2 linked regions of the Rhinolophus ferrumequinum genome follow. The protein of the gene in region 1 purifies or fractionates together with the protein of each later gene. This does not show direct contact. Links are inferred from orthologs where the notes say so. Each region holds a gene or a part of one and is shown on either strand. Other genes may lie near its edges. The genes, in order: CCDC68 and CEP170.

Region 1 (10,934 bases):
TAGTCGTGGAACCACCAGCACCAAGATACATCACTCCCCACTGAAAAAAGTCCCGTGTCCCCTTTGTAATTAGCCCCGCTCCCACTCCTGGCCCCAGGTAACCACTAATCTGTTTTCTGCATAGTTTTGCCTTTTCTAGAATGTCATCTAAATGGAGTATGTAGCCTTTCGGATTTGGCTATTTCAGTCAGCATAATGCACTTCAGATTCATCCATCTTGCTGTTTGTATCCGTAGTTCATTCTTTGGTATTGATGAGTAGAATGCACCTGTTGCTGAATATTTGAATTTTTCCCAGTGTTTGGCAATCATAAACATTCGTGTTTTATGGAACATGAACTTTCATTTCACTTGGGTAAATACCTAGGAGTGGGGCTGCTAGGTTGTGTAGTGTGCGCTTCACTTTATAGGAAACTGCCCAACATGGTGGCACATTTGTATTTCCACCAGCAACAGGCCAGAGTTCCAGCTGGTCCACATCCTCACTCACACTTAGTATTGTTTGTCCCCCTCCCCTGCTGGATAATTTTTTAAACAAAGTAAATTAGGTTGAAGCTAAAATATTCCAAGATGAGTTTAGGAAGCTATAGCTATTTTGTAAATGACTGAGTATTTTACTCTTAAAATATTGTATCAAACCATAAAAGAAATTTTCCGAAAGGTCTCCTTTCTTATAAATGTTACAAATGGCTGAGATATATGTCATCGACAACTGCTTCTTTTCATATTTTCTTCACTGACAAGTCATTGAGTCGACTGAGGTCAAAGCAAAAGGAATGATTGACTGATGGGCGGGGAGGGATAGGAATGGTGAGGGGACAACTGAGCTTATCATGGACACTTTCAAATGATGTCCTATAAGCAAATGTCCACATAGAAATATTTAATATTCTTTGAATGTGTACTATGGGTCACATTCTCCATTGAGCACTTTTAATCCCCATGAACTCTGTGAGGAAGTTAATATTGTCATCTGAATTTTTCAGTTGAGGAAGCTGAAGCCTGGGGAGTTAAAAATGTTCCCAAGGCCACCCAGCTAGTGGGAAGGAGAACAGAGTCTCGTGAACTGCACCAACCAGGTACGAAGCCCCCATTTTTAAGCCATGAAGTCATACTACCTCTGTTCCTGGAATAAATCTATTCAGACAACAAGATCTGCTCAGGCTTCTGACGGATACACCTGGGAGCTCACAGCAGGAGTTGTTTGGAAAACAACTTGGAAAACCCTGAGTACTAAACTAGCTTGTGCCCAAGATACTGAACTTAGAAATCCATTCAGAATGCCGCAGGAGGCAAAGTGGTAAGTTGGAAATAGCCGCGGACTCATGGGTTGTGATCCACGACCATCATTAACTTCATTTTACTAGCTGTCTTTGCTTAATTATGTCGAGTCTCATTTCCTCATCTGTAAAATGGGAATAATAACACTGACACCTCAGGTGTTTGTGGGGTTTATTAAAGGCAGCATACCCCAGCCTGCATGTGGGGACATGGACCAGATCCTGCGCCCTTCTCCCCACGCTTCCCCAGTGGAAAGGGAGTCATATGATTTACACCCTTTGTAGTTTAGTTGCTGTACTGGGCACTGAGTGACACCTTATGCTTTTTCAAAGTTTCAAATTATACCAATGAACTGTGTATAGATTATTTCATTACAAAGACGCCTGGATTTGAAGTCAATCTATCTGAATTCAGGTGATGAGGTCAATTTATGACCTTGAAAAACTTCTTATCACTTGTTTGTGATTAGGTTGCATTATATACACAGCTATAGATAGATATAAATTATGGATCTAGATAATAGATATAGATATATAAGTAATAACTAAGCACAGTGTATTATAATGATGACTTTTGACAATACATGGAAGTGACTTTTTGGTAAATGACAAAGTGCTTTGTCATCAGTCTATATTTGTATATTGTGTTAGTACCAATATTTCAATCCTTTTTTTCCCCAAAACTGAATTGCTTTTATGTCATGTCTAAGAGCATTCAATAGCACTGGCTATGATATAAATATATGTGTGTATACAAATGAGTAGCATTTACAAATGATGCGATTACTTCAACTTAAAAAAATCTTATATCGTTACTTGAAAGCAGTGTTATTATTATGTGGGTTCAGGGTTAACATGCATGTCTTTTGGTGATACTGTGCATCACTTGCAGGTACACTGCACTGTCACCTGAGATTTAGCCGGCCGACACTGGATGTCACCATTGTGCTGTATAATGCAGCGGCAGAACGGGTGGGCTCTTTAAGATTCAGGAGACAGTCAGTCTCTTCAAGGGTTTGGAGATATGTTAGCTTTTTTCCCCTCACATAACCTACTTGCAGCACTTTTATTGTAACTCACTTTTTCAGTTTCTACTCTCTAAGCGCTATATAATAGTGATCAAGAAGGATGCAACACTGTGCAATGTTGTTAGCTTAAAACTGAGAAACCGAGAACTCAGAAACTGTGCCCAAACCAGTCAGAGCTCTTGGTTGCAAACCAGAGTAATTGACTGGCTAACTGAAGTAGAAAAGGAATTTACTGGAAGAAAATGGAGCAACATTCAGAATTGAGGCGAAAACTCCGTTTGCAAATGGGAGAGTCCAGTGTGTTGGTACCTCAGCAAAGATGAGGCTGTAGGCAGAACAAGATAGAGTCCTTCTGGCATTGCCACTGGTCACTAGATATCTCCACTGCTGTTCCTGCTGCTGGACATAAAGCACTGCCATGTGCCAGCCTCTTTCCCTTCCCAGAACAATAACGGGGTTTTCACTAACCCCCTGCTTCCACAAGCCTGATAGCCAATCAATCCCTTACTGGCATTTCCAGGTTGGAGTACTCAGTTGGCTGAGTCTAGGTGTCATACCTGTGCCCCAGCCCAAGGAGGGAGGAAGAAGAGGGAAGGGAACTTTCCTGCAAAGACTCATACAGATGGTGATTCCACATTACATATCTAGGAAGGAGATTCAAATGCTGGACAGCCAAACCATGCCAAGCGTCCACCATGGTGCTGTTCAGTCAGCACCCACAGAAATGAGTTGAGCATAGCACTGTGCAGTCAACTTTATGACCCCTTCTGTGGGTTGACCTGGAGTCAGGTGCATACGCCTTGTAGCATCTCACAGCGTCCCAGACTTCCCTATATCCTGCCTTTCCTTTCACCCTAAGGGAGCCTTACCAGCCAGGGCGAGACCTGCTTTAAGTGGCTAAAGAAACAGCTCCTTACGCAAATTGGAGGTCATAAGTTCCAGGCTATTGAAAAACAAAAAAAATCCCTGCTGCCTGCATTAAAAGAAGAAGAAAAGTAAGCTACACTGCGTTCCTCCTGTAAGCAAATCTCAGCCTCTGCTGTTGCTTTCCCCTTTGCATGGAATGCTCTTTGCCCAGATGGCCACAGGGCTTCAGCTCCTGTTAGTCAAGTCTTTTGCCCAAGTGCCACCTCTTCAGATTGTCCTTCTCTCACCACGCATCACCTCCTGTTTTTCTGTTACCTTGCTCTGCTTTTCTTCATGGCACTTGTCACCACCTCTCACTAGGTTCCCTGTATATTTATTGTTTTGTTTATGTCTTTCTCCCTCTCTGTACTGCGAGTCCCATGAAGGCAGGGTCTCTGGTTCACTTCTGTGGCCACAACTCCTAAGGTAGCTGTTTTCAATAAATATTTAATATATGAATGAATGAATCAGGGTTAAGTAAAGGAAGGAAACAACTTGGTTAGAACCTCTAGAATATAAACAGTGCCTATAATTAGTATCCTAAAGCTGCTACGACAAAGTACCACAGAGTGGCTTAAACACAGTCATTTCTTGTCTCACAGTTCTGGAGGCTGGAAGTCCAAGATCAAGATGTTGGCATGGTTGGTTCCTTCTGAAGGTTTTGAGGGATGATTTGTTCCGTGCTTCTCACGTTCTAGCTTCTGGTGGTTTCCTGGCAATCTTTGGCGTTCCTTGGCTTGTAGAGGGATCACCTGGATTACTGCCTTCCACGTTATAAAGCCTTCTCCCCATGTGCATGTCTGTGTCCAAAATTCCCCTTTTTATAAAGACAGCAGTCGTATGGAATTGGGGTCTACCCTACCCAGGTATGGCCTCATTTTAACTAATCTGTAGGGATCCTATTTCTAAATAAGGTCACATTTTGAGGTATTGGGGTTAAGACTTCAACATATGAATGGGAGAGGGGACAAACCCGTAACAGCGCCTCATATGTGTTTATTGTATAATGGTTCAGCCATTCTTCTGTCATTAAACAGAGAAGTCGGTTTAGTTACATTATTCTGGGTGCCCAGAGATGTACTGGTTTATCACAATTCACAGTAATGTGTAAGAATTGCTTTGTAAACTGTAAACTAGTCCTTAGATGTTAGCATAATCATTTGGGCACATTGATGAATTATTGATGCATTCTCAAGAAAGAACCCATACCATGGATTTGCTAGTCTTAAAATCCTCCAAAGCAGATTTTCTTTTATAGCCCAAATCAATCTGTAGACTGCTTAAAATATTACCTGGTTCATCTCTATCACTCAGACTGCTTGTCAGCAGTAATTATGGAGAATGGTTTCATGTTTTATTTACTCATTTGACAAACATGCAAATCATTTTTCATGTGCTAGGCACGGTTATAAGTGCTTGACAGATGTTAACTCACAATTCCATGTGGTTTATTATTTATCTTATTAATAATTAATAATTTATATTAATATCTGAATTTCACTGAGAAGGAAACTGAGGCACAGAGAGGTTAAGGAACTTGCCCAAGATCACACAGCTACTAAGTGGCAGAGTCAAGCCATGAATCTAGGTTGTCTAGCTCCAAACCTTTGATATGTAGACTATTCTTTCTTCACTATCAGTCTCATGGAAAAATTCAGTGTGTGATTGAATAAAACAGAGCTGCTTTGGTTCAAGCTGAGATGGCAAAGACCTATCTGCTCAGCACCTCACGTTCCCCTGGGAGCCCTGTTTGAAAAGCCCGGAACTAGGAAATAACACCTCTTGGAGTGATGCCACTTGTAAGCTGTCTTCAAACCACTCTAGTATAAAACAAATAAAATTCTTTTCTCACTTTAATTAACTGATTGTGTTTTGTTTTGAAAAATTTATCTGCCTAATCTACTTCTGGCAGAAATAAAATGCTAAGATGGATTTTCCCCAGGATAGTAATGCCATATGGCGATTTGGACTTTGCTAGCTGAAGTTCCCCTTGGGTTTCTTTATACAAATCAAGGACTGTGGTTGTAAAAGTTTTCTGAACCAAGGAGAGAAAGGGAATTTGATTTCGTATGAATATACTTTACAACCAGATAGGCATGAACTCTGCTATGGGCTGCTTATCTTCTGTGGTTATTAATAATATAAAATAATAACAGCAACAATATTAATAGTTACTGTCCACTGAATGCCTTCTGCCACCAAGGATTAAAAAAAAAAAAACCAAACCCCTCATTTTTTACAACTCTAGGTGTCACCACCCCTATTTTACAGATTTGTAAGTCGAGGCTAAGATTTTATGGAACTTCTTTAAGGTGGCCCATTGCTGAGTGGAGGGGGTAGACTGTTTTGAGAAATAGCAGTGATTAAGGAGCAGCATTTCTTGATATTAAGAATAAAAGACACGTAAGAGAATATACAGAGGGTGCCAAAAAAATATATACACATTTTAAGAAAGGAAAAAACTGTATTAAATTTGTAATACTCAATATATGTTGATAACAAAAGACGAATACAAGTCATGTGTATACATTTTTTTTTTGGCACCCCCTGTATTTTCAGGTGTACAACAGAGTCCCAATGAGATTTTCAAATTGTGAAAGACTGTGAGAATGCAGTGGGATCCATTTTCAAGAGTAATTATTTCCTGTGGTGAGACAGTGCCTCTTATTGTTTGTTAAGTTACACAATGTGTAACATGCTAAAAAGAAAAAAGAAAGTAAATCAATCAAATGGGACCATAGCTTAAGGGGGACTCAACTGGAGAACAAAACACAACTCAGACCAAAATGATTTCTTGCTTTCCCACTGGTTTTGCTCCAACCCCCATCACACCCTAACGCAGGAGAGCAAACTTTTTCTGTAAGGGACTAGATAGTAAATATTTTTTGACTCCAGGAGCTTGGGCTCCTGGGCCATGGTTTGCTGACCACCACTCTAGCCTGACCACCCCCCTCTGGTTTCCAAACACATTGCTGATTGTCTCTATGGGTGTTTGTTTTACTCTGAGCATTTAAATGTTGTTTTGGACCAAGAGCTTAATCCAGAAGAGACTTCCGAAGACCCAGTAACAGAAGTACTTCCACTCTGCATTCTGTAGAAACAGACTTGCAGAGCTGTGGCTGCCAAATCAACTTCAGCCGAAACCAATAGAAGCCGTAGTGGCTGTCTAAGAGGATTTATAATAAAATGGAAAATTCTTGGCATACTCTGTCAACTTCATCGAAGATTAAAGGATAAATGCAAAACTCTGAGTTAGTTATCCCCAGAAGCTATCTAGTTTTAAAGTGATGCCAGTAAATATGAAGTAAATATGAAAATTCTTTGTGTGTTTTAACACCATGGATCATTGCTAAATGTTAAATATTTCTGTTGTTTTTTCTCACTAGAGAAGCCAGCCTTAATGTGATGGAAACACCCTTGAACTTGGCGTCCAAAAGTCACAGGTTTCAGTCTCAGCTCTGTTAGTTTTACTGTGCTCTTGGGTAAATAAACATCACCTATGGGAGTCTTCGCTTCCTTATCAGTAAAATGAGATTAATAATCCTCCCTCACAAGGCTTTTTATTTTATTTATGTATTATTAGAACTTTACTACTTCTTATGGAAATTTCACACTGAAACAAAATAAGTAGAGAAGTATAATGAACCCCATGTGCCCTCGCCCAGTTTTAACAATTCCCTGAATTTTGCCCAAACTTCTTTCATTTTTACCCCCCCCCATTGCTCCTCTTTGTTAGAGTATTTTAAAGCAATTCCAAATGCAATGTTATTTCACCTGCAAATAATTCACTATATATGACTAACAGACAAGATCTTTATTTAAAGAATGTCATAATTTCGCTATCATACCTAGCAAAATGACAGTTATTCTTTCACCTCATGTATTACCCAGGCAGTGTTAATGTTTCCCTAGTTGTCTCAAAAATGTCTTTGTATAGCTGGTTTATTTGAATCAGAAGCCAAAGAAGATTCATATATTGCATTAGGTCGTGTGTCTCTTAAGACTCTTAATTTATGGCAGTTTTTCTTCTCTTCTTCCTATCTTTCTTCATATAATTGATTTGTGGAAGGAGCTAGTTATTTGTCCCATAAAATTTCACATAAATCTGGATTTGGCTGATTGCAACCTTTACCCTGTAGAGTCATTAAACATCATCCTCTTTTTCAGATAGAGGCTTGATTAGATTCAAGCCTACTTTGAAAAAAAAAAATCGTACTTCATAGGTGATGCTTTCTACTTGTGATTGTACCATATCCAGAGGACAAAATATCTGGTTGTCTCTTTTTAACTTGTGTCAAGACCGATTAGTAGGGCTCTTCAGGTAAATGCATACTTCATTAAGCTCTCACCTAATGTTTTTCGCACCAATTGATAAACTGTTGCTTAGTTCCATTACTTCATAAGGGGTTGAAAAATGTAGGTTTTCTAATTGTATCAATTCCTTTGGATTTATTAGCAAGAATTCTTTTGAAAAAATTCCCTCATCAATTATTTGGTCACCATGAACTACAGTTCGTACAGGAAAGGCAAGACAAATGCTTGTTGGTGTTCCCCTCACCCCTTTTTAGGGCTAATGTTTAGTATAATGGTGGCCTGCCTCCATTGAGTTGGACCATGAGGATTGGTGGTGGTGGTGGGGTGGTGGTGGTGGTGGTGGTTTTTCTCCTATCATCATAAATTTCGATATGTTTTCAACCCCTCACAGTTATTTCTCTTCAGGTTGGTTTTTATGTGTTATTCAAGTAGTATTTGATTACTTTTTTGCTTTCTGATAGGATAACACATCTCAGACTTGCTTTATACATTTCCTGCCCCAGATCTAAATCACTCAAGAAGCCTGGTTTCTTTTTAGTAGAAAATGGTATACTGAGACCACAGTCTAGACACTAGAATATTAATTGCTATTTTATAGTGGATAGATCTAGAATGTACATTTTAAAGGAAAACAAATCATTGTGTTACACTCATAATTTTAGTTCAGATTATAAGGTTTTTATGCAACATTTTTGGTTCTAATTTGTATATATTTTCCTCTTATGCTAAATATCTTGTTCTTAATGACATTAAGAGAATGACTTCTCGGCTTTATGCATGCATTCATTGGGTGAGCGCAGACACGTGTGTATTAACACACATATAATTTCAAAGTGGCAATACTGATGTTTCCATTAACAATACTATTAGTAGGTGTAGTTAAAGAATTTTGCTATTCTTTTTGTCCTTAGGACATAGTACACTGGGATAAATAGTTCCTGATGTGTGTTTTAAACTCACTTCAAATAATTCATGTGGACATCCTACCAACTTGATATACAGATATTTATTTCTTATTTTGGAGGATTTTATTTTTTTCATTTTAATTTAGTTTTATTTTATAATTAGGCAAAATAATTACATTGTTCAATGTCAAAACTATAAATCACAGATTGTCCCCTTCCATCCATTCTTCCCTTCTTATAGAAATTATGATACAATATGTCCCTTTCTGCACTGTGCTTTTTCATTGAACAATACATTACTAAGAAGAGTCCATAGCAGTAGGTGGTTTATTCAGCCAGTCTACTTTTTGGAGGCATTTGGACTTTCCCAATCTCTTACTTTTACAAATAAGTTTTCAGTAAATGGTCTTCATAGGCTATTGAGAGTTAAATAAAATGCAATATATTAAAGGTCTGTCTTAACTATAAAGTGATCTACATGCATGTATATATATATGTATGTAAGTAATATAGAAATGATTTTATTATAATTATTTTAGTTCCACAGAAATTTACTAAACACTTACAATGTGCTGGAATATAAAGGCGAAAGTGACAGTCCTTACTCTTGAGGTTTTACAGTCTAATATAATGTGGGATGAAAAGAAAAATTTTCTGGGAGGGGGAAAAAAAAAGAAAAATTTTCCATATTTCCTTCTCAGATAATTTTTAAGTTTCTAATCAATAATTGTTTTAGCTGGCGTTATTTTTACATTAAATTAATTCCTGGATTTATGGATATATATATATATATATATATATATATATATATAGAGAGAGAGAGAGAGAGAGAGAGAGAGATGTCAATCATTTATAATATTTTCTACTGTACAGTATTGGATTAGAGTGCTAGTACAGAGCTTCTTCCAGTTTACAAACCCTATAATCATATCATCAAGGAAGTTAGTGTTGTCTAACGGATTTGTGTTTTCCTAAAGACAGAGTTCACAATGGCAACAATAACCGTGACCACAGAAGTTCCCCCAAGGGGTAAGACAGAAGATAATTCTGCCTTGTATGACTCCACATCAGCTCACATTATTGAAGAAACCGAATATGTGAAAACGGTATGTGGGAGCCACACATCACGTTAGTATGATTTTTGTAAAGTAAAATCTAATATAGATTGGTAGACTTTGTTTCTCCCTCCATAGAACCTGAGAGGAAGAGCAGACCTTGTTTGGCAAAGAATAATCTTGATAGCTGACATTTAAACACATGTTGAGCATTTTCTCTTGAGGATATGAACCCCTGTTCCGACCCTTGCAGTAAAATTGAATAATGGGCAAGGAGAGTTTGAAACACCTGTCAGGACTTAATTTGTCCCACACTATTCACCACTGCACTTCCTACTGTTTTATATCATTTCTCAGTTGTTTCATGAGTTGGTGCTGTGTTCCCTAGTAGATGTTTGCATTTCCTGCTGAGTGTCTGTCTCTCCTTCGCTTGTTCCTTCTTACAGTTCAGGGTCGCTATTGCCAATGACTACGTGTAAGCATAGTCCTTCATTAAAAACCTGAAATCCTATGAGAACCCAATGATAATGGCTGAGAGAAACATATATTCTTATGAACTGTTTCTCAGAACAGATGGAAAAATTTGGACATGGGTAAATTGTAACATTCAGATCTATGGATTCATCTTAGAGTGTCTCGTAATTCCATAGGTCACAAAGGTGTGGGACTTATATTTTATGTATAAATTTGTATGATTTCCACTTAGTAATTATTCTATAGTAATTACTAAATAGAAAGTATTCTCTAGTAATTACTAGGTAGTAATTATTTTGTAGTAATTACTAGATAGTGATTATTTTGTAGTGATTACTAAACAGTAATTGTATTATAGTAATTACTAAATAGTAAATTAGTGCTAAATTACTATATAGAAAAAAATAGAACTAAATAGAATTAGATACTAATTACTAAATAGTAATTATTTTGTAGTATAATATTCATTTAGGTTATATTTTAGGTTTGACTGAGAAAGAGTTATAAAGACCAAATGCTCATTTTCTACAATCCAGACAACATTAGCCTAAATGCAAGTTAGGTTGATGGTAATTATTTAAGTCTGAGATCAATATATATGTACTATTTTCTAGATAAATTCAGTGCACTACTGCTGGTATAGAGAAAAAAAAGTATTTGGCATTAAATGCCTTTAAAAAAAAAAACATATTTTTTTTCTTCTAGATTCGTACTACTCTGGAAAAGATCCGAAATCAAATGTTTAAAGATGAAACAGGACATAACAGTATAAAGCACAGACTAGATGCAAAGGTAATGAATTTATCAAAATGTACCATTTCTATTTCGTCAGTAAATAAACATAAAGCCATACAGACTGTATTTAAGTAACTTTTTTTGATAATTATTAAATTATTCTTGGAAGCTTTGAACGATGGGTATTAAATATTTTGTCATTATCTAAAGATGTTAATGGGCACATGTATGAAATATT
Region 2 (11,144 bases), on another chromosome or scaffold:
CTTGGAAATCACCCTTTTTTGGTGGTGGAGTCCTGTCTTTTGCTTGTTTTAGGGAAGGAAACCTGGAATTCTACTGGCTTTCTCTTATTCTGGTAAAAGAAATAATCATAAAAGTTAAAACTACTAAGAAAAGCCATATGAGTTGATAAGCAGAAAAAGGAACTCAGATATTTACAAGTTGTATCTGCATTACCAATCCTTATTTATTAAGAGCTAAAGCATACCAGTTCTTTAAATTTTAGAAAACAATGATGGTTCAGTCTGCACTGAAATAACAAAATAATTTTGTCATTTCATAACGAATGTTTCCAAAGGCTTTATTATATGGTTGCCTCTTTTGGTGTCAATGAGAGTGATAATAAAACAAACAAATAAGCAAATGTTAGCTGTGGAGAATGTGTGTGTGTGTATACCGTGTTTCCCCAAAAATAAGACCTAGCTCTAATGTGTCTTTTGGAGCAAAAATTAATATAATACCAGGTCTTATATTAATTTTTGCTCCAAAAGACACATTAGAGCTGATGGTCCGGCTAGGTCTTATTTTCAGGGAAACATGGTGTGTGTGTGTGTATGTATATATATACTTATATATATGTATATACATATACTGTATATGGCAAAGAATATAAAAAATATTCAGGAAACATTTAAGCAAAAAAATTAGAAAAGGAAGAGGAGGAGGAATTGCAGGAGGAGAGAGGGGGAGAGAAAAGAAGAAGAAACACAAATTTGATGAGTAAAACTGAGAAAAAGAAGAACTTTTGCTTAAGTTACACACGTTTTGTAAGTGTGTCAAAGGTCCACATGATATCACTGCTGGCTAATTCGGTGACCAAATTATTGGCTAGTAAGATTAATGCAGGCCTTCTACAGATGTGAGCCCTTCCCTGGAAGGAAAAGCACTCTTTGTAGGCTCTGCAGAGATGTGTCAATCACATACAAGTAAAACATAGAACATCAACATTATCTTCGGTTTTCTCAAATTAGATCAATTTACAAAGAAAAGGATCACCCCCAAATTACATACTTTATTCCCTTTTCAACCTTTTGCTTTCTGTGAACTAGTTCCATTCCTTCCTCTTATTTTTATTAAATAAAAACATAACCTTTATCATTCACATGGCCCAACCCAGTGTTGATGGAAGAGACATTAGAGATCCAGGGGTCTGAGAGTGATACCTGGGTGACAACCAGGCTCTCACGTGTGTCTTGCTTGGCCAGCACATTGTGGGAAGAAGGGAGAAGAAAAACAGGGAAGAAAGAAAAGAGGGAGGGCACAAGAAACTGGATTGTTTTTAGAAAAAGCATCAACTGCCCAGTTTGGCCACACGCCTCACCATTCCCTAGTGCCTTCCACTGACGCATTCATACATACTGTCATCTATTTGGCTCCTAAAGGCAATAATTCCCAAATCTAGTCCAAACTTTATTTTACAGATGAAGACCAAGAATCCACGAGCAGTTTATTTATTTGCCTGAGGTGACAGATGGTTATCAGCAAAGCAACTGTAAGAGTTCAGCGACGTGGCTCCTAGTTCCACATTCTCTTCTCCATCATATTTGTCCATAAATTGAGTCTAGAGCCTGAAACACTGAAATGCTGAAGAGGAAAGGGTGAACCAGGATAGAAAATGTATATGGAAAATAAATGATGTATTCCTAGCACTGTACAAGTTTGTTTCATATTTCTTTATGCCCACCCAACCAAAGGTAGCTAGGTGAATAGGTGAGTCATGTATTCAGGTCTTGATAAAACTGTGTTCATAGCTAACACTGTAGCAACAGACTAGACATGATTCTGTTATTAAGGCTGGGACATTGCATTTCTAGCAAGTTCTCTCCTTCTAATACCATATCCTTACATTCCAGTGTACAGAACTTGAACAGCCTGGATTGCCCATTATTCTGGTTTTTCTAACCCTTTCTTGGCTACAAACTGCTTTATTTTATACCTCACGGCCTTGTACAAGGATGTGTTGAATGTAAATTAGAGGAGGGGCATTTGCACTTCTCTCCAGTTATCAATATAGTTCTCAGCCATTCTGCAGGTCTTGAATTACAGTTGCCTGTGGAATGAATGAACACCTAACCATACTGCCAGGAGCCCTTCCAAGTCACTTCCAGTTCTATGTTAAGCTCTGTGATTCCCAGGATACTTGGAATATGCTCACTTATTACCCCACTGGAAACTTTCATATCATCTACCGTGGAGGGATAATATTACAGATTTTGGGGTAATGAGGTCTTTTAATTTTTATGTCAGAACTCTAACTTTGAAGGAATGTCATTAAACCTGCCCAATTTCTTGCAGCGGGGGCATAGACAACCAAAAGCAGGAGATATCCTTACAGGGGGCAAACAATGAATATATCTGAAAAGTGTAAGGGAAAGGATAAGACGTGAGGGTGGAGTGTGAAATGGGCTCTCTATTTCCATGGCTGCTCTGGGCTCATCAGAGTCAAGGAGAGGCAAGACGTACACTCAGGTTTTAAAAGCAAGAAAGTGAACTTTGACTCCGCTTTCACATCAGAATTTCAAATTCTTAATATACTGTAATACCGAAAATTATATTTAAAGTGAAGAAATGAGGCAAAGCTATAAAAAATGGAAACTTGTGAAAGCATTTTGCATTTTTATGTGGTTACTTGCTGTCTGAATATAAATGAAGGTATACAAATAATGATTACAGGTATAGGTATTTAAAAACCAGAGGAGTAACCTGTGAGGAAAGACTACAAATGCTTATCAGCCTTTTCTCTAAACAAGAACTAGGCAAGACATTTTGGGGAAGTAATGGCAGATAGACAAAACCAAACAAACCAACAAAACAAAGCAAAGAAACTTTAAATTGCATTTTGTCTGATTGTATAGAACACAATTTCAAGTTATTAGGCACAAACACTCAAAATGAAGTTCTACATATAAAATAATGCCACCATACTTTGTTCTGAAACACAAATGTTGACTTTAAAAGGAATTATCCTACTTAAAAGGGGGTAATTTATATGTATGGAGTGAAGAACTTCTGACTGTGCTTCCCTTCAAAGTTCGCTTTGTTTTGTTTCCGTCCATGAGCTGTTATATAAACTAAATAAATGTAAAAATAAACAATGCTACTAAATAAATAATAAAATAAGTCCTGGAAACCCATGAAAAATCAGGTTCCATTTCTTGATTCATTGTTAAAATGGTCACTAAACATTTTTTTTTAAAGTAAACTTTTTTCTCTGCTTTGTCTGCTCTTGATTATAAATGTTTTCACTATCACATTGTTAGCACACTAAATTTAAAACTTATTTTAAAATGTATTAGCTTTGAATAAAAACTCTTCACTTTGTAATTACTGAAAGCATTATCATGGGTATTAAACACAGTAGTACTCTAACATTAGTTTAAATTAACCATTGCATCAAAATGCCTAATATTAAATGGCCTCTAATACTTACATAAAAGTTCAAAATAAGGTCAAAGAAGGAAGAACATTAGGAGATACTTATAATGGAAAACAAAAATTTTTTGCCAACCTCAAAAATTAAACAGAATCACTCACATTATCATTGTGCACAGTATTTTTCTTGCTTTCAAATGAAAGTTAGAAGTGGTTATTTCTGTATCTAAAAGTTCTTGAAACATCACTAGGATGATGAAGATATTCATTAAGACCAATTATTTTACTCTTGCAGTTTGAATACTCACAGTGTTGACAGTTTGTAACACTGCTGACAGGTGGGAACAATAAATAATAACTCTTACAAAATCTAGAGTCACTTGAAAATAAACTTTCTAATCTTCTTGAAAAACCTTCCCTTTGTTGCAGGTACCAATTATAAATAGCAGCTAACATTTAATTAGTGCTTCTTATATGCCAACCACTGATCTTTACCCTTATTGTCTTTCCTAGTAATCTGTAATTATTTTGTTTATTGTCTTTCTCCTCCACGAATCCAGAGGCTCCAAGGGGACAGGGACTTTGTCTAGTTCCTTATGTATCTCCAGGACCTAGTATGCCTAACACACAGTAGGCACTCAATTAATAAGTGAATCAGTGTTCTAAATGCTTTACATAATTTTTTAAAACTGTTGGTCATGACCTAGAGGGTTAAGAAAATGCAACAGAAGAGAAAATAGAGTGCATTACATTTAGTATTTTTTAATGAAACTTTTCTTTTAGTTTACGTATTTGTCCCATATAAAATGTATTTTTACTGATGAGTGACAGTAAAAAGAAAAAAAAAAGAAAGTCTCAAAATTATTGCTTTATATGGATTATTTCATTTGCTTCTCACAACAACCCTGTAGACGACACCGTAACTTCCACTTTAAAATAACAGAACTGGAGCTTCCCAGTTGGTGACTGCATCCATGTGCTGGCATGGCAATGCACCCAAAGAGGGCTTCCACAACTGAAGGGTTCAGGCCCGCAAGACTACCTCCACTTCGGATGCCAGTCACGAGTCCCAGGTTATCACTAGTACTTCTGACTGATTGGCTATAAATTCAAAGGGTTCCTACAACCCCCTCCTTGGCTCTACTGTTTGTTAAAATGACTCACAGAACTCAGGAAAGCACTTTATTTACTATTACTGGTTCATTATAAAGGGGTACAAATCAAGAACAGCCACATGGAAGAGATGCATAGGTGAGACATGGGGATGGGGTGCAGAGCTTCCAAGCCCTCTCTGGGTGCATCGCCATCCCTGCGCATGGATGGGTTCACCAACTGGGAAGCTCTCTGAACCCTGTTGTTTGGAGGGTATTATGGAGGTTTCATTACATAAATACGATTAGATTAGTGACTAACGCAATCTCCACATTCTCCCCTCTATGGAGACTAGGGAATGGGGCTGAAAGTTCCAACCCTGTAATTGTGGCTGGGTCTTTCTAGCGACCGGCCCCAATCCTGAAGCTGCCTAGGGGCTCTCAGACACCAGCCATCTCATTACACACAAAGACACTTTTATATGAATGAAATTTGAAGGCATATGCTAAGTAAAATAAGCCAGATATCAAAGAAAAAATATTGTATGATTTCACTTAGATGGGGTACCTAGAATAGGCAAATTGATAGAGACAGAAAGTAAAACAGAGGTTTACAGGAGCTAAAAAGAAGGGGAAATAGTGAGGGGGGGGGAACAGAACTAAGGTTTTTAAATGTTATATATGTCCAAGGTGACAGAATACAATCTTCAGTTCTATAGATACTCATTCATATGGTGCCATACTAAAAAAAAAAATCTGAATTAACTAAATATGGTTTTAGTAAGTAATAGTAATTGTGACAGGATTCATAAAGAAAAATATAGGCTTTTAAGACAGGCCTGACTGACTTTAAGATTTGTCTCTGCCACTAAGCAGCTGTGTGGGCTTTGTCCTGATTTATCGTCTTTGCACCTCCATTTATTTCCCCATGTGTAAAATAGGGATATTTATAAGGTTGTTTTAAGTTTTAAATGATATAATGTATGTAAATAGCCTAGAGCACTAAATAGAGCTGTTGTGATTAAAATAATTATTAGTGCTTTCTTTTCCTGGTCCAATAAATCATTCAATCCACTACACCGTACTGTGAATGTGTAAATAGTGTGTAGCAGGAACTCATTAAAGAGCAAAGTATGGGAAATGTGCAAAAGTGGCATAGAGCCGTTCAACAGGTTCTGCTGGCGCTGGGTGAGAAAGATGCCTAAATCAAGATCAGAGAGTTGGTTCAGGTAGTAAGGGAACCAGGGAAACACTAATGGTTAACAGTAAAAACACAAACGATCTCATTCTTCCTCAAAAACATCCTTCAACAGCAACATCCATCTTCTTCCTCTGCATCCTGGCTGAGGCCGAACCAAGGTGATAGGAAACACACCTAGTCAGCTCCCGCCCACTAGGCCCTGGTACCACGGGGCACGGAGGTTCGGAGCAACTCACCCCGGAGACTCCGTCGATAATGCCCCAGAATCTCCTCCAGGGTAGAGTTCTCCGGGGACTTCGCCATGTACAGACTCAGGATCAGAGATGGGAGTTACGTGGGGAATAGTCCAATGTTCTCCCCTCCGAGAACAGGAGGCCTTAGCGCCCCGGGTGGACCCGCCAGCTTCCTGCCGCTGCTGTCAATGGGGAGCATGGAACCCCGGACCGGGCTCGCGGGGGTTCTTCCCCCCTACTAGCCCTCTTGGTGGATGACGGGAGTTGTGGTTCTCAGACTCCGAGCCTGCAGTGTCCAAGTTTCTGAGACCTTCTGACTACACTACAATTCCCAGAGGGCACTGCGCTCCCAGAGCCAGCTCAGGCCGTTTGGTGGCCGGATCCGGTTGCCAAGAGACTGCTCGGAAGCTCCGCCCTTTTCCTGATTTAGTCCTGCCTTCATCCCATCCTACTGTTTGGACCACCCAAAATGACAGAAAGGGCTCGCAGAAGGCCTTGACTTTTCTAAGCAATTTGCTAATATGCAGTCGATTCTTGAAGATTTTCAAGGACGCAAATAACAAGCTCAACACTCTTCAGCCACGACATTTGCCAAAACAGACAAATTCTCAAGAGAAATACGCTCTAAATATTCCAAAGAGCCTAGATTGTGAAAGGCGGCTGACACTACAAATCCTAGCATGCCCAGCCACCCGACCTCCACTTGGGGTTGGCGCACTGCCCGCTGGGAACGGTAGTCCTCGTTGGTAGCCGTCCCTGCTAAAGTTGGGGTCCTCCTCATTGTTCAAGCTGGTCTTTGAGGCACGCCTGCGCAGTAGGCAGCTGTAAAACCCTGCGGCGAGACCCTCTGCACAGCCCCTTTTCATTGTCTGTTTTTGGCGCCTGCGCAGTAAGCGATCGTTGGGACTGAGCCGGGAAGGGGGTAGGGCCGGGCTGCTCGCCCTTTCTCCAAGCGCCTGCGCATTAGGCGGCCGCTCTTTGCCGTTACCGCTATGTGTGGGGCGTGTGTGGAATAACGTTAGTGCCCAGCGGAGCTGAGGGGCCGGGAGCTCGATCACAGCGGCCGGGACGACGACGACGACGACGACAGCGGCAACGACGACGACAGTGTGGGGGGAGGACGGCGTGCGAGAGACTCACGGGACGCGACGCGCCCCGCCTCCCCCGTCCGGTCCCTCTCTCCGCGGTGAGGGGTAAGTGATGCGCTCAACTGCTGGGTTAGGCGCTGCCGATCCCGTCGCGGCCACTTTCCACATCCTCTTCCTTGGGTTTGCAGCGGGGGCTCGGGCCGCGATCTGCGGCGGGGCTAGGGTGCGGGGCCGGGCGGGGCCGGGGGCGCTTCCCGGATGCTCCTCGCGGCGCCGCCACCCCCACGCACCGGCCGGGGGCTCGGCCGGGCCAGCCCTCGTCTCCCCACCCCACCCTCACCCCACCCCCACCCGCCGGCCCTTCGGTGCTGCGGCCGCGGCTTTCCCGGCCCGTGGCCGCCTCCGCCCCTTCGCCGGAACGTACGGAATCATTTCAGCTCTCTCGGGGCTTTGTGCAGCCCTCCCCCATCCGCCGTGGCAGCGCGAGGGGCGCGGAGGGAATGGCCGCGCTGCCGCTGGGGAAGTGCTGTTTCCCCGGCTGGGAGCAGCTAACAGCGCCGATCCTTTTTTGTGGTTGGTTCTGGGCTGTGGGGTGGTTGGCGGGAGGTCAGGCGAGGAGCCTTTCGGACGCGCTCGGAGGGCGTGGAAGACGTGGTGTCACGCACCCTGCCAGGCGACCGGACCCCGCGGGAGCTTTGGCTCGGGAGTCAGCCCCCGGGAGCAGAGCGTGGCTTCCTGTCGGTTTCATTGTCCTGAGATTCAAACGTGGGGTGTGGGTACGGTTCCCTTCGTGTTATTCCCCAAGGGGGAAAATTATGAGCGCTGCCTAACACTGGGCGGGAAGACGTGGAATTTGTAGAATCTCTATTTTTCGGTGTTGAGTAGACTGTTATTTATTTGAAGAATGAAAGCTCCTGGAAGACACGGACAGTGCCTGTGCAAGCATTGCCAAAGTGATCAATATAAAATTGCTAGATGACGATGAAGCCTGGACTAGGAAGGGCCTGACGACGAAGCTATTGTGTAGCAGGGAAGTGAAGCAGCAGGATTGTTTTTTCATTGGGTGGGTAAATGCATTCACGTTCCTACGGGAATAGCTAAGGCTCCGTCTTGCCGTTTTGTGTATTTAAGCAATCGAAGCAAACAAAAAACAGACCTGGTCCATTTCTGCTTAGTTTTATTCATGCTTGTATTCTCTTTGTGAAAATTCACTCCCGTTAGAGAGAAATGTGGGGAAGCAGGTGATACACTTGATTGAAGATGCATCTTTTAAAATGATTTGATCCTGAAGCTTCCAATGTTTCCAACCGTTTGCTGGTTTTAAAAGGAGGAATGAAGCAGGGAGGGGAGGAGCAGGTGGAGGAATAATGTGAGAGGAGAGAGTTCCATTATGAATACAGTATCCAAGTCTTTACTGATAGAATCCTAGCTGGACATGCTTCAAAGATTTACGAATTCAGCTCTGGAAATATTACATTGCAAGTTACAAACCGTTTTGTATGTTCTGCATTATTATTATTTTTTTGAGTTATATGAGGGTTGCTTTTTGTTCTTCCTAACTTTATAGATATTGCATAATTAGGGTCTTTTAAAACTGAAGAGACTAAGTGCACTTGACAGAGACAGAGGAAGATAACTAAAATTTGGAAAGGTAACTGTCCGTCCAAGCCAAACTGCTAATGAAAGGCAAAGCCAAATAAAACCAAGGTGTGTGCTGCGGAGTGCTCCTTCCAGTAGCCCCCTACCCTGTGGACATTTACGGAAAGCTGCTCTACAGTCTCTTTGCTTGTCTGTGACAAACAATCAAGTTCATTGACACCCCAGTTGTATTAATCTAATCCTTTTCTTTGTAAAGTAAAAATAGTAATTCTACTGAAGTGAAACTTTAGTTTTATGAATTAACTTACTGTTATAGGAAAAGATACTATAACATGGGCTTTTCATAAAAAGAGAAATGGATTATTTTTCCCTACTACTTATTAGAAACCATATTTTAATATTATTTCCGGATATTCAGAAGTAGTTTATAGTATGATCAGGTCTATAAACTCTGTTAAAAATTGCCACATAACAAGAAACTATGAAGTCCATTTTTCTTTGATTAATGGATTATATTAAACTTAAACGAGAATTTACCTTTTGAGAAATAACTTGGAACTTTTTATCAAAATTAAATTTATGTTTTTTATTGAGTTGATTTTGCCATAAAGTCCTTTCTTGTTCTTATCATTTTTATCCTACATAGCATTTTAATAGACTTTTAAAACAATTTATTAATGTTTCTCTGAATTTCAACTTAAAAATAATCTGTAATTAAATTCAGTATGTGCAATTATGTTAAATCAAACTTAAAATGTATTTTACTGGTAAATTTTGTGGTGTTCTAAAATGATTTTGTATGGAAATAACCATCTACATGTTTTTTTATCTTAGCATTAGAATGATGAAATTTATACTATAAAATATATAAATTATTATACATTATGCCTTTTGATACAAATATCAAGATGGTATAAAAAAAATTCTCTGCATAGTGATTTATTTGTTCCAAGTATCAGGTTTTTGTTTCCTTTTATCACTGGAAAAAAAATTTGTTTTATTGTTACATCTGATAGTAATCAAATATTACTCATCTGGTACTGAATACTGTCTATGTATAAAGTTGTCAACATGTTTTTAATTCAACAAAATGTATTTCTGAAAAATAATTTTTTCTATTTTAATTAGTGAGTAATGATGTTTTTTCTTTTCTGTGGTGAACACTAGCAGTGTTAAGCTATCCTAATAAATATCTAACAGATAGCATGATACTAAGTTGCCAACTAAAATATCCGTACAGTTGCAAATTACACAGGAAGTATAACAAAAGCAGTTACATACTATCTGAAAAATCCTTGGTGGATAAATAATACTGGCTGGAGCATTAAATCTTGGTGGGTTTCAGTAAGAAATGGGTTTCCTATTACGGGGAGAAACCATCTTTATTTCATAAACTTTGGTTAATAACCAAGATTTCTAATACTCAGTTACCCTTGGTGGAATGAGTTTTAATTTATTTACTCATACATTTCTTGAGGGAAGTGCTCAGCAATGAGTTAGCCAGTATGAGTGATACAAAAGAAGAAAACATCCATGTCTGGTAGTAGGGTTGATTAAACTGGATATATAGTCCAGTTAGTTGAAATAATTGTGCAACAGTGTGTGGATATGTGTAGACACGTATGTATCCAAAATGTATAACATAGCTAACATGTACTGAAGGTAAAGCTTACCTTTATGTCAAACAAAGGTAGAAAGGATACCAACAAAAAGGTTAAAGAAAACCTTACAGAAATTATATACAAGTAGGGATTGTACAAAGCATAGAAGTGGAAAAGAATCCCAAGCATACGTTGCTTAGGTTTAAAAACAAAAAAATTAGACAGCAGAGAATGTCATTATTTAATATATTAGTAATTAATAAATAATATAGAAAATATTACCTTTTGGGACATGATATTTGTTGAACAAATGGGTAATACCTGCCATGTATTAAGCACCTACTATGTGCCAGACTATGTCTTTGTGTGTGTGTGTGTGTGTGTGTATAATTCATGTAGCAGTCTTGTAAGTAAGGTATTATTTTACACATTTAAAATTGAGAATATTTGAGACCCAGAGTTAGTGAATAATTTTGCCTCTGTGTCACACATTAGTAAGAGGTAGAACCTATAACTGAACCTTCGTCTTTTCAACTAAAGCTAAAATTCTTTCCACTCATGTTTTTTAGTAAGTTTAAAAGGCAACATTTATTCCCTTCTGATTCACAAAATTTTAGAATTACAGGAGACTTTAGTAGAAGTCATGTCATACAATGTGCCACGTACTTCTAATATCTCTGGAGAACTTACTGAATCCAGCTTCTCCAAGACAAGACTTCATGAACAAACTGGCATAGGATGGCTTATTTAGCTTTTGAAAAGTATAGAAAGGTCTTACTTATATAAGACCCAGTCTTATGTTATTGTAAAATAAGACCCAGTATTATGTTATATTATGTATTATATTATATTATATATTATACCCAGTCTCATATTGTAGTAAAATAAGACTGGGTCTTGCATTAGAGCTGATTGTCCAGCTGGGTCTTATTTTCGGGGAAAC

What was found.
Region 2: the proteins of CCDC68 (region 1) and CEP170 purify together in Homo sapiens (co-immunoprecipitation; 3 studies listed by BioGRID and IntAct, counting the BioPlex papers as one, with this or other methods). This does not show direct contact. The link is inferred for Rhinolophus ferrumequinum from reciprocal best matches to the Homo sapiens genes CCDC68 and CEP170.

What each region holds. Positions count from the first base shown.
Region 1 is NC_046302.1:44,495,176-44,506,109, reverse strand, and holds the start of CCDC68 (coiled-coil domain-containing protein 68), read left to right. Parts: upstream 1-6,601; 5' UTR 6,602-6,695; intron 6,696-9,409; exon of another isoform or gene 9,410-9,413; 5' UTR 9,414-9,421; coding exon 9,422-9,538; intron 9,539-10,666; coding exon 10,667-10,753; intron 10,754-10,934. UniProt on the Homo sapiens protein: Centriolar protein required for centriole subdistal appendage assembly and microtubule anchoring in interphase cells. Together with CCDC120, cooperate with subdistal appendage components ODF2, NIN and CEP170 for hierarchical subdistal appendage assembly.
Region 2 is NC_046310.1:17,587,186-17,598,329, forward strand, and holds the start of CEP170 (centrosomal protein of 170 kDa), read left to right. Parts: upstream 1-6,867; 5' UTR 6,868-7,106; intron 7,107-11,144. Other genes in the region: SDCCAG8 (serologically defined colon cancer antigen 8), read right to left, coding at 5,917-5,983.